Neodiprion lecontei: one gene and its partner. The main gene of each other region encodes a partner of the protein of the gene in region 2 in a complex. Links are inferred from orthologs where the notes say so. Each region holds a gene or a part of one and is shown on either strand. Other genes may lie near its edges.

Evidence for each region.
Region 1: dynein regulatory complex subunit 7-like (region 2) and dynein regulatory complex protein 8-like share a complex: the UniProt entries of both Homo sapiens proteins name them as parts of the nexin-dynein regulatory complex. The link is inferred for Neodiprion lecontei from reciprocal best matches to the Homo sapiens genes DRC7 and DRC8.

Annotation. Positions count from the first base shown.
Region 1 is NC_060266.1:25,923,902-25,927,280, forward strand, and holds dynein regulatory complex protein 8-like, read left to right. Parts: upstream 1-1,646; 5' UTR 1,647-1,683; coding exon 1,684-1,762; intron 1,763-1,952; coding exon 1,953-2,060; intron 2,061-2,160; coding exon 2,161-2,281; intron 2,282-2,378; coding exon 2,379-2,589; intron 2,590-2,696; coding exon 2,697-2,819; downstream 2,820-3,379. Other genes in the region: heterogeneous nuclear ribonucleoprotein U-like protein 1, read right to left, coding at 1-750, 1,049-1,181; delta(3,5)-Delta(2,4)-dienoyl-CoA isomerase, mitochondrial, read right to left, coding at 3,153-3,254. UniProt on the Homo sapiens protein: Component of the nexin-dynein regulatory complex (N-DRC), a key regulator of ciliary/flagellar motility which maintains the alignment and integrity of the distal axoneme and regulates microtubule sliding in motile axonemes.
Region 2 is NC_060266.1:422,758-427,641, forward strand, and holds the start of dynein regulatory complex subunit 7-like, read left to right. Parts: upstream 1-1,853; 5' UTR 1,854-1,859; coding exon 1,860-1,871; intron 1,872-4,884. UniProt on the Homo sapiens protein: Component of the nexin-dynein regulatory complex (N-DRC) a key regulator of ciliary/flagellar motility which maintains the alignment and integrity of the distal axoneme and regulates microtubule sliding in motile axonemes.

The DNA of each region.
Region 1 (3,379 bases), about 26 Mb from region 2:
TCGATTCTTCTTCATTGTTCATTTCATCATCTTTAGCCATTTCTTCCTTGACAGGATCAAGATTCTCATCATTTTGGTTTGCAGATTCAACTGGTTCAAGTTTTTCTAGTGGTTCGGAGCTATGTGAAACTTTGGTTTCTGGAGGCGTTTCCTCAACAAATTCTTCTTGTGGCTGCTGTTCCATTACGGTAGTCGAATGCTCTTCTGTTTTTTCAGGCACATTCACTTGTTGTTCTGTAGCGGTTTTCGTGAAATCAGATTGTACTTCAAATTGTGAAACAGGTTCTTCCATTTGCTGCGGACTCTCCTCCACACTTGCGAGAACGGATTCGACATGTTCTTCAGGCTGCGGCTCTATCTTCTCAGGGCTAACTGTATGTGATTCTTTCACTGGTGATCTTGTGGAGGGATCTGTAATATTTTCAGGCGTTGCAACTCGAGGAGGGACCTCAGGTTCGCGCGCATCTGGCTCGGGAGCTGGTTCCTCAGGTACAGGGGAAGGCTTCCTCTGTTCTTCCGGTGGTGGAGCTTTGGCTGGAGAAGGCGATTGTTTCGCCCTCGCAGCTGCTCTCGAAGGTGTTTTGGAAGGGCTGGTAGCTGAAGCGCTGCGAGCAGATCGCCCCCCGGGTGTTTTAGCGGTTGGTGAGGGTTTTGCAGGTTCCGGCTCTGGCGACTGCTCGTGTGGTTGTGCCTCCCTGGTATCCACACCTACCTCATCGTTCGACTCAGGGATCGTCGTTTCTTCGACTTCTAAATGAATGAAAAGTAACAAATAACACTGGAGCATACATAATTGAATTTGAGATTGTTGCGTTTCCTGATAATAAGTAAAATGGAAATCAGATGCATAAAAAATCACGGCGTCCTGAGGTAAGGAAGACAGGTTGGAAATAGGTTGGGATATCGGGGTGTTCCAATCGAGGAGTAAACAGTTTTCCGGCGCCAGTGACTAGACTGTATTAGACGCCGTGTTTGGACGCAATTTAAGCGGGAAACTACTGGGATAAGCAGTAACGCCTAGTGAGCGGTAAGCCGAATGTTTTCTTACGGTCTTCGGCTTCTTCGTCCTCCAAAGCCTTGCGGAGTCGCTCGACGAGGACAGCTTTATTTCCTTTGGTATCGAGACCGCGATGAGAGAGCTCTGCCCGCAGCTCGACCACTTTCAGCTTCGCGGGATCCATGGCGATGGATTTATTTATTTTACAAACAACCGCACAATATTTACTCGATCGAAAATGCTTTCAGGAATGAGCCATACACGCGACGGTGACCCGCGCTGCGCTCGCAATATGGCGGCGACATTGCAAACAATACGCGGAGTGATACGGCATATCCGATTGGCTCGTCGGACGCGAATTCGAAACGACGCCATTGCGACAGTCAATCAAACTTACTCTTTCATTTGACATATACCGACGAAAAGCGATCCGATTGGCCAAAGTAGGGATGTTTCGGGCGGCGGTAATTATGAACTGGCTTACAGCACACCCCGTGCAATTTTTTTTTTAGTTAATCTTCACACCCTAAATGTTCGTTCAGTTGTCGATGATGACATCCGCGGGATAAGAGCGCGAAAAAATACGTAATGAAATGAATTCTTTTCGCGATATCTTCTTTCCGTAATACACACACCATCGCGGTAACTCGCAGTAACGGTCTTAGGGGTGATTTTATTTGGTCAATATGGCGCAAGAACGAAATAGCGAGGTACGCCGCAGAAGTTCAGTAATGAAACGGGGATTGTCTTTATCAAGTTCGGAGGGTATCTTCTGTTCTTAAAGCTTAATTTTTTATCCCTTTGCATTAGCGTTCACATAATCGCATCGTCGGTCACGATTTTAGATTATGTTTTACGCTGATGCAATTCTTCTAACAGTCATTTCTGGTTATCGCACCTAAATCTAAATTTAACATTCAGAGTGGTGAATAACACAAGCTTATTTCACTAAAAGGGCCGAATCTATTGGAAAAACTGATACACAATGCATTTGACGTCTTTGACACTGCCAAAATCCAAGAAGTGGATGTCAGAGACTTGGGAACAATGATACGATCGCTAGGTAAGCACTAAAAGGGGAATACTCTTCAAACTAGAATGTAGCAAGTCTGAAACTGTCCTTCCTTGCATTTTTGACTGAAATTTATTTGCCTGGGTTACAGGATGTGTTATGACTGAGGCAGAATTGCAGGAAATTCAAGTTCAGTTGGAGGATGTGGAAAATAATTCCGTTTCACAATCCAGATTTGTAGAATATATGACTAAAACCATTAACGAACACAAGTGAGTCTGACTCTCTCCGCATACGTTGATCCAAGTATCATTGTCAGCAAGTAAGAGTCATGAATACCAAGTAGCAATTATGGAAAATTATCCTCAGATTAAAGCCAGCAGAACCTGAGGAATTATTGAAAGCATTCCAGCTATTTGATCCTGAAAACCACGGTTATATTATGAGAGATGATTTGGCAAAAGCACTGATGGAACTGGGAGAGCCTTTTACTCAAGATGAAGTAAACGAGATGATGTTTGTAGCTTGTGACCCCGCAACGAATAGAATCAACTATGAACACTTTATCAATCTGCTTATTGTGAGTATAGCTCGAGATTCAAAACATAATCCATGTAAAAGATCAGATTCAACGATTCTGTCCTTCTACCCGTTACATACAGAATTTCTGGTTTTTTCCCTGCATAGTTAAAATATCCGGATGATACCAATCCTTATAAAGTTGCCGATAAAATTGAGGCTGATCGGCTTGCGGCCATGCCTAAGAAACGAGGTTTGGGCAGCCTTATTGATGCCTCGGTACCTCATTGACACTGTCAAAATTATGAACAAAAGAAAATTAAACATAGTTTGTCCGTGAAATTCTCAAGTACATACAATATTACTATTTTTATAGTCACTGTGTAATAGCTAGACTATAATTACATTCTCAATGTACTTTTTGAGTATTGAAATCGATTTATTACCAAAAATAATTGATGTCCAATTGTAAGACTGATACTGCGATTTACGGATATGCAGTGATAAAAATATTGGCTATTAAACAGTCAAGTTCCCTAATTTATCTTTGTTTACATTGGTCATAGTTACAGAAAAACAGGTAGTCGGAACCTGATTTCGCTGACAAATAGTGGTCTCTATCCTTCACAGTTTGGAGAACACAGGCGCTTCCCCACTCTTGCTCACCTGTGCCATGACAGAGTTAGCAAGATCCTCACTTTGCAACATTACTTGATTGTACATGAGCTGAAAGCAGAAACCAAAATTACTAACAATAATTATAACTATCATTAATAACGATCATTAAGTACTCAGTTACTCAAATTCGAATCTTTGCAACTATGTTAATCCTGTAATTTTCGCTTATTTCT
Region 2 (4,884 bases):
GCATACGCGGGCAAGCGAACGGTTTCCGATAATAGGTTCGCTCGATTAGGCGAAGGAAAAAAAAAATACTAACGTACTATGACGATACGGCTATTTTTTCAACTTTCCCAATTCAGAACCATAAACGCGACGAAGGTAAGTAAGTATAGCTCCTCTAGTCTACATTGTACACTATACGCGTATACGCGTTCCTGTAGGATACATTGTAGAAAATTGCTTCTCTTCAACGAAGCGTATGCCTGATCGTATTATCGACTATATAACTTGATTTCGCCGTCGACTGATTGTGACTGACAAAATTTTGGCATCGATATAACCCATCACTTCGCTCCGGACAGTGTTTGCATATCACACCTTTGGACAGTTACACCGATATCCGGTTGATTTTAAATTAATGGATCCTACGTGTATTTAGATCTGCGAATAAAATTTGCATACACGTCGCGATTCTATCGCTGTCGAATTTCTCGCATGAAAATGCGTTTCATTTCAACAGTATGTAACATGGTACGTGTGGGTGCGGGCATTAAATACGAGCATCTGCGCGATTGTGTTCGTAAAGTGGCGAGGATCCGTCAATTTCTCATGTTATTCTTTACACTAGTGCTACGCTATTGTACGGAACGGACGTAATGACGATACGTAGTTGCGGATTCGAATATTTGCGTTAATGGATTGTCAAAGACTGCAGGCTTTCGATATCTCGCCGATCTACCCACACGTTTATAAATATATAACATGTGCGGTGTGTGCGCACTCGTCCTACGCACATACATACGCTGCTGCATAACTATACCTTCGTACAAACCATGTGCATACGGGGACGAGAACCACGGTAGTAAGGGGGAAGATAGGGGGGGGGGGCTACAGCCCAGCCAGCCGTCCTGGATGACAGACAGGATGCGAGGGTTCGCGATTCCGCGCGCCTTTCGGTGTGCCCGGCATTACGTGCTTCGGTGGCTCTGCCCGCGCTGCAGCTACGGCAGCGAGCGTCGGCGACGTCGTCGAGACATTTACCGGCGATCCGGCGACGATGACGCGACATTCCACCACTGCATACGAATTATGTACTACTTAACGTATTATATACCATATACGTTATATCATGTATATCTGCATATATAACCGATATATAGTATATACATACGTGTATATGAGCCGGAGACCTAGGCTCGGCGAAGAACGTACACCTACGGTATTGAATTCTGACCGCTTCAAGGCCACCCGTGTCGCGTGCTTCGCGGGTCAAATAAATGGTAGCAGAGCCCTGTAAAACGGTCGTAATCAAACACCGTGGCTGTACGTACGTACGCGTTAACGTACAACGCGCACGTTGTACATATGCTCGCGCAAAGATGCGAGAGCCTTTGTGAGATCGGGAAGCAGAGGCAACAGCTGCGACACTTGGTTCACTCGCGAGACCCGCATGATGCACCGTCGTCGCCGCGATGTATCCTGCAGGCTCTAAAAGCCGCAGAGACCCGACGGTCTTACCCACGTAGCATATAGCCGCATATACCTCCTCTTTCCTTCACCCCCAACCTCTCTCTTTCTCTCTCTCTCTCTCTCTCTCTCTCTCTCTCTCTCTCTCTCTCTCTCTCTTTCTCTTTCTATGTATACATATACCATTCGCACGAAATTTTCATGGTCAAAACCCACCCGCGCGGTCCTTCGGGGCTGCAGTAAACGGTTCCGCGTATTCCTACTGCTTCTAAGTCGCTAAGGTATAGGATGTACGGATAAGGTATATTAGGTAGTAGGTAGTAGGTAGTCGGGTACAGGCCGCAATATTCAACGGTCAATTCTATTTTAAGCTTAGTTGGGTGTGCGGCGGGCCAAGCATGTAGCTTCGGTACGCAATGCTGAAGTCGGTGAATGTCTCCATCTCTATCCTCCCGCTCATTTTCCATGTTCACCACACCTTCGATCCTTACCGGAGTATAAAGCATTGCTAAAGCAGCGCGGACGGATGGATACGATCTATCATCAGACATTCGAAGTAGATTCAGAACAATGTAAAGGAATAATCATTAGCTTGGTTGTTATCTTGGAAATGCAGGTCAAATTTTTTGAAACAAAATTTTAATGTTCACCTTCCGGCCCGAATGGGGTCCTTCCCGGAACGAATTATTTTGTCGAAATGTGTTCAATAAAGGAGTAATAAACAAGAGTTTACTTACATATCGTTAAGGCCAACAGGCCATTTCAGGCAATAATCATTATTGTACGCTGCAAGATACATTCGATCGCTAATTATGCGACCCGGCGAATGTTTGCCGAGCTTTGGTCCGTACCGGGACACGCTCTTGACCGATGAAAATCTATGCAAGAGAAAAATTTGTTGCTCTACAAATCATCCGCTCCATATTCACGGCCGAAAAGCTATTATTAAATGAAATCTATTGATAATGTGTGGTACGGTGCTTAGGCTCCGATTCCAATCAGTCGGTAGAGAGGGGAACGCGCAAGTTGTATCGCGTCCGGCCGTGTCGCATGCGTGCGTACGTACATAGGTACATCGTAATTGCATACGTCACATGATGCCCTGCTTAGCAGTGGTGTATTATTTTCGGCTACGTAAACTCGCGGTGTACTTCCTTACACGCGCGCTGCAGTTGTGTACAATCGGTGCGTCGGCGCTCCGGACCAACCCCAACGTGTAGACGAGAATGAGAGAAAGAGACAGCGAGTGAGAGAGAGAGAGAGAGAGAGAGAGAGAGAGAGAGAGAGAGAGAGAGATGTACAGTGGCAGTGAGTCTTGGCGCGAAACGTGAATTTGAATTTTGTAACGGAAATTCAATATTTTCCGCATGGGTTTGAGCATCGGCGTACCTCCTGCGTCATCATCAGCCGATTGACTGTCCTGTATGCGTAGTCGAACGTAAAGATGGTTAATTCCCGAATCAATCGATGATTATGAGATACGCATAACCTGATGGAAATTTGTATAATTGTGACGCATGTGTGCTCAGCACGAGGGGACGATAAGACATTCTTCGCAATCCATAGTCACACACGGATCTTCTCGATAATACGACATCTCTAAGTATGCATATAGTTGTGTGACAAACGAGAAATGGGTTACACGGCGGCGTGATACACAACGTAGTACGCTACGGTAGTTCCTAGGCATGCCGTGCGTGCAAGCGCGTATCGGTACGCCCATGGAGCAATGCGTAGGAATTTGCGGCTCTTGGAAGGTTCGTGTTTACTTTTGCAGAGATAAAAGGAGACCCTTAACCCTGCGGGTGACGGACGAGCCGACGGTCTTGCGGGCACGACGAGCCGGCGGGCGGATTATCGGACGGACCGACGGATCGTCAGACAAAAGGACAGGCCCAGGAGGCGACGGGAGGACGAAGGGTGGTCGCGGACAGGCTGGCAGGCTGGCAGGCAGGCGGGCGGGCGGGCAGGCAGGCATGGCAGGCAGGCAAGCAGGCAGGCTGGCAACAGGAAGCTCGCGATGCGTGACTCACCGCGAGCCAGCCGAACAACGTAGAGAACTAAACCGCGCGCGATCGCTCGCGTTCTCTCCGCGTGTTCGTTTCTTCGTACGGTACCCCCGTCAACCTGGGAATATCGTACGAACGTACGCGTGCATGTACGCAACCGTGGATGCCCATACATACTTAGGGTCTTCCCGGCCGCGGAGGGAATATAGTATATCGCGAGCGATTCGAGGTTGCCGCCGAGGCGTTTATTGGCGGCTGCTCCTGCGTCTATACGCACACGCGCGCACACGCATACTTGCGTTGTACGTACGCACCTTACGTACCTATGGCATAGACTTATTTGTCTGATCAGATTCGCGCGAGGCCGCGGTGAGGCGGTTTAAATCCGACTTGCGCGCACGACGGAGTCGCGCGACCAAATTGCGAGGTGGACGGCGATCGGGCAAAAACTGCGTCGAGGTGAGGACGGAGGGTAGAGGGGGCCGACCTTCCCGTCCGTCTCGCGAGAAGACCCGCGACCTCGCCATCAAGTAATCAACGCAACGGCACGCGGTCTCGACGCCCATGCTCCCCCTCATTGTACATATACACACTTTATCTATCTATAGTCGTATATGAATTGCAGGGATCGTAAATACGCGTTATAAGTCTGTACCTACGTGTCTACGTACATTTACGTGTACGTCCATACCTACATAATATATGTATTAACATTATATGCGGGTCATACGTTGTATTTATCGGTACCGCGTATGCGCGTCGACGTGTGATGAGAAAGAGCGGATCTAAGCAGCCACCTTAACAAAATCACGGCAAAGTACAGTAGTTTTCCAATCGTTTGCGTCGATTTAAACGTTCAGAGTTAGATTACCATCTAATCGGTGTACTGTGTTTACGCTATCAATTATCAATTTCACCTTCTTCCGTAAATGGTTCCCCTTTAGCTAACCCCTCACTTTTTATCCAAGAGAGAGAGAGAGAGAGAGAGAGAGAGAGAGAGAGAGAGAGAGAGAGAGAGAGAGAGAGAGAGAGAGAGAGAGAGAGAGAGAGAGAGAGAGAGAGAGAGAGAGAGAGAGAGAGAGAGAGAGAGAGGTTCGTTTAGACCCACTCTGCCCTACGCCGCGTACATACAAGGCATGAAAAAACACCGAGTTTGATCCAAGGCAACGTATGTATGGTACATTATACCTACCTATATATACACTCGAGGCGCAAATAGGGAATATAGTTGAAGAGAATATCGCGCGAGTGTAGAGCTAGCGAGAGGAGACGCTGCTTCTCTCACCTCGGGGCAAAATTTGTGCGCGTTCCAACGCGACCGAGTGAATTTAGGGTGGGCACATCTATACATGGGTGTGTGTGTGTGTGTGCGTGTGTGTGTACCGTCGACTAATAACAAGGGCGGCGCGAGGGGGCGGCCGGGGGACGGAAA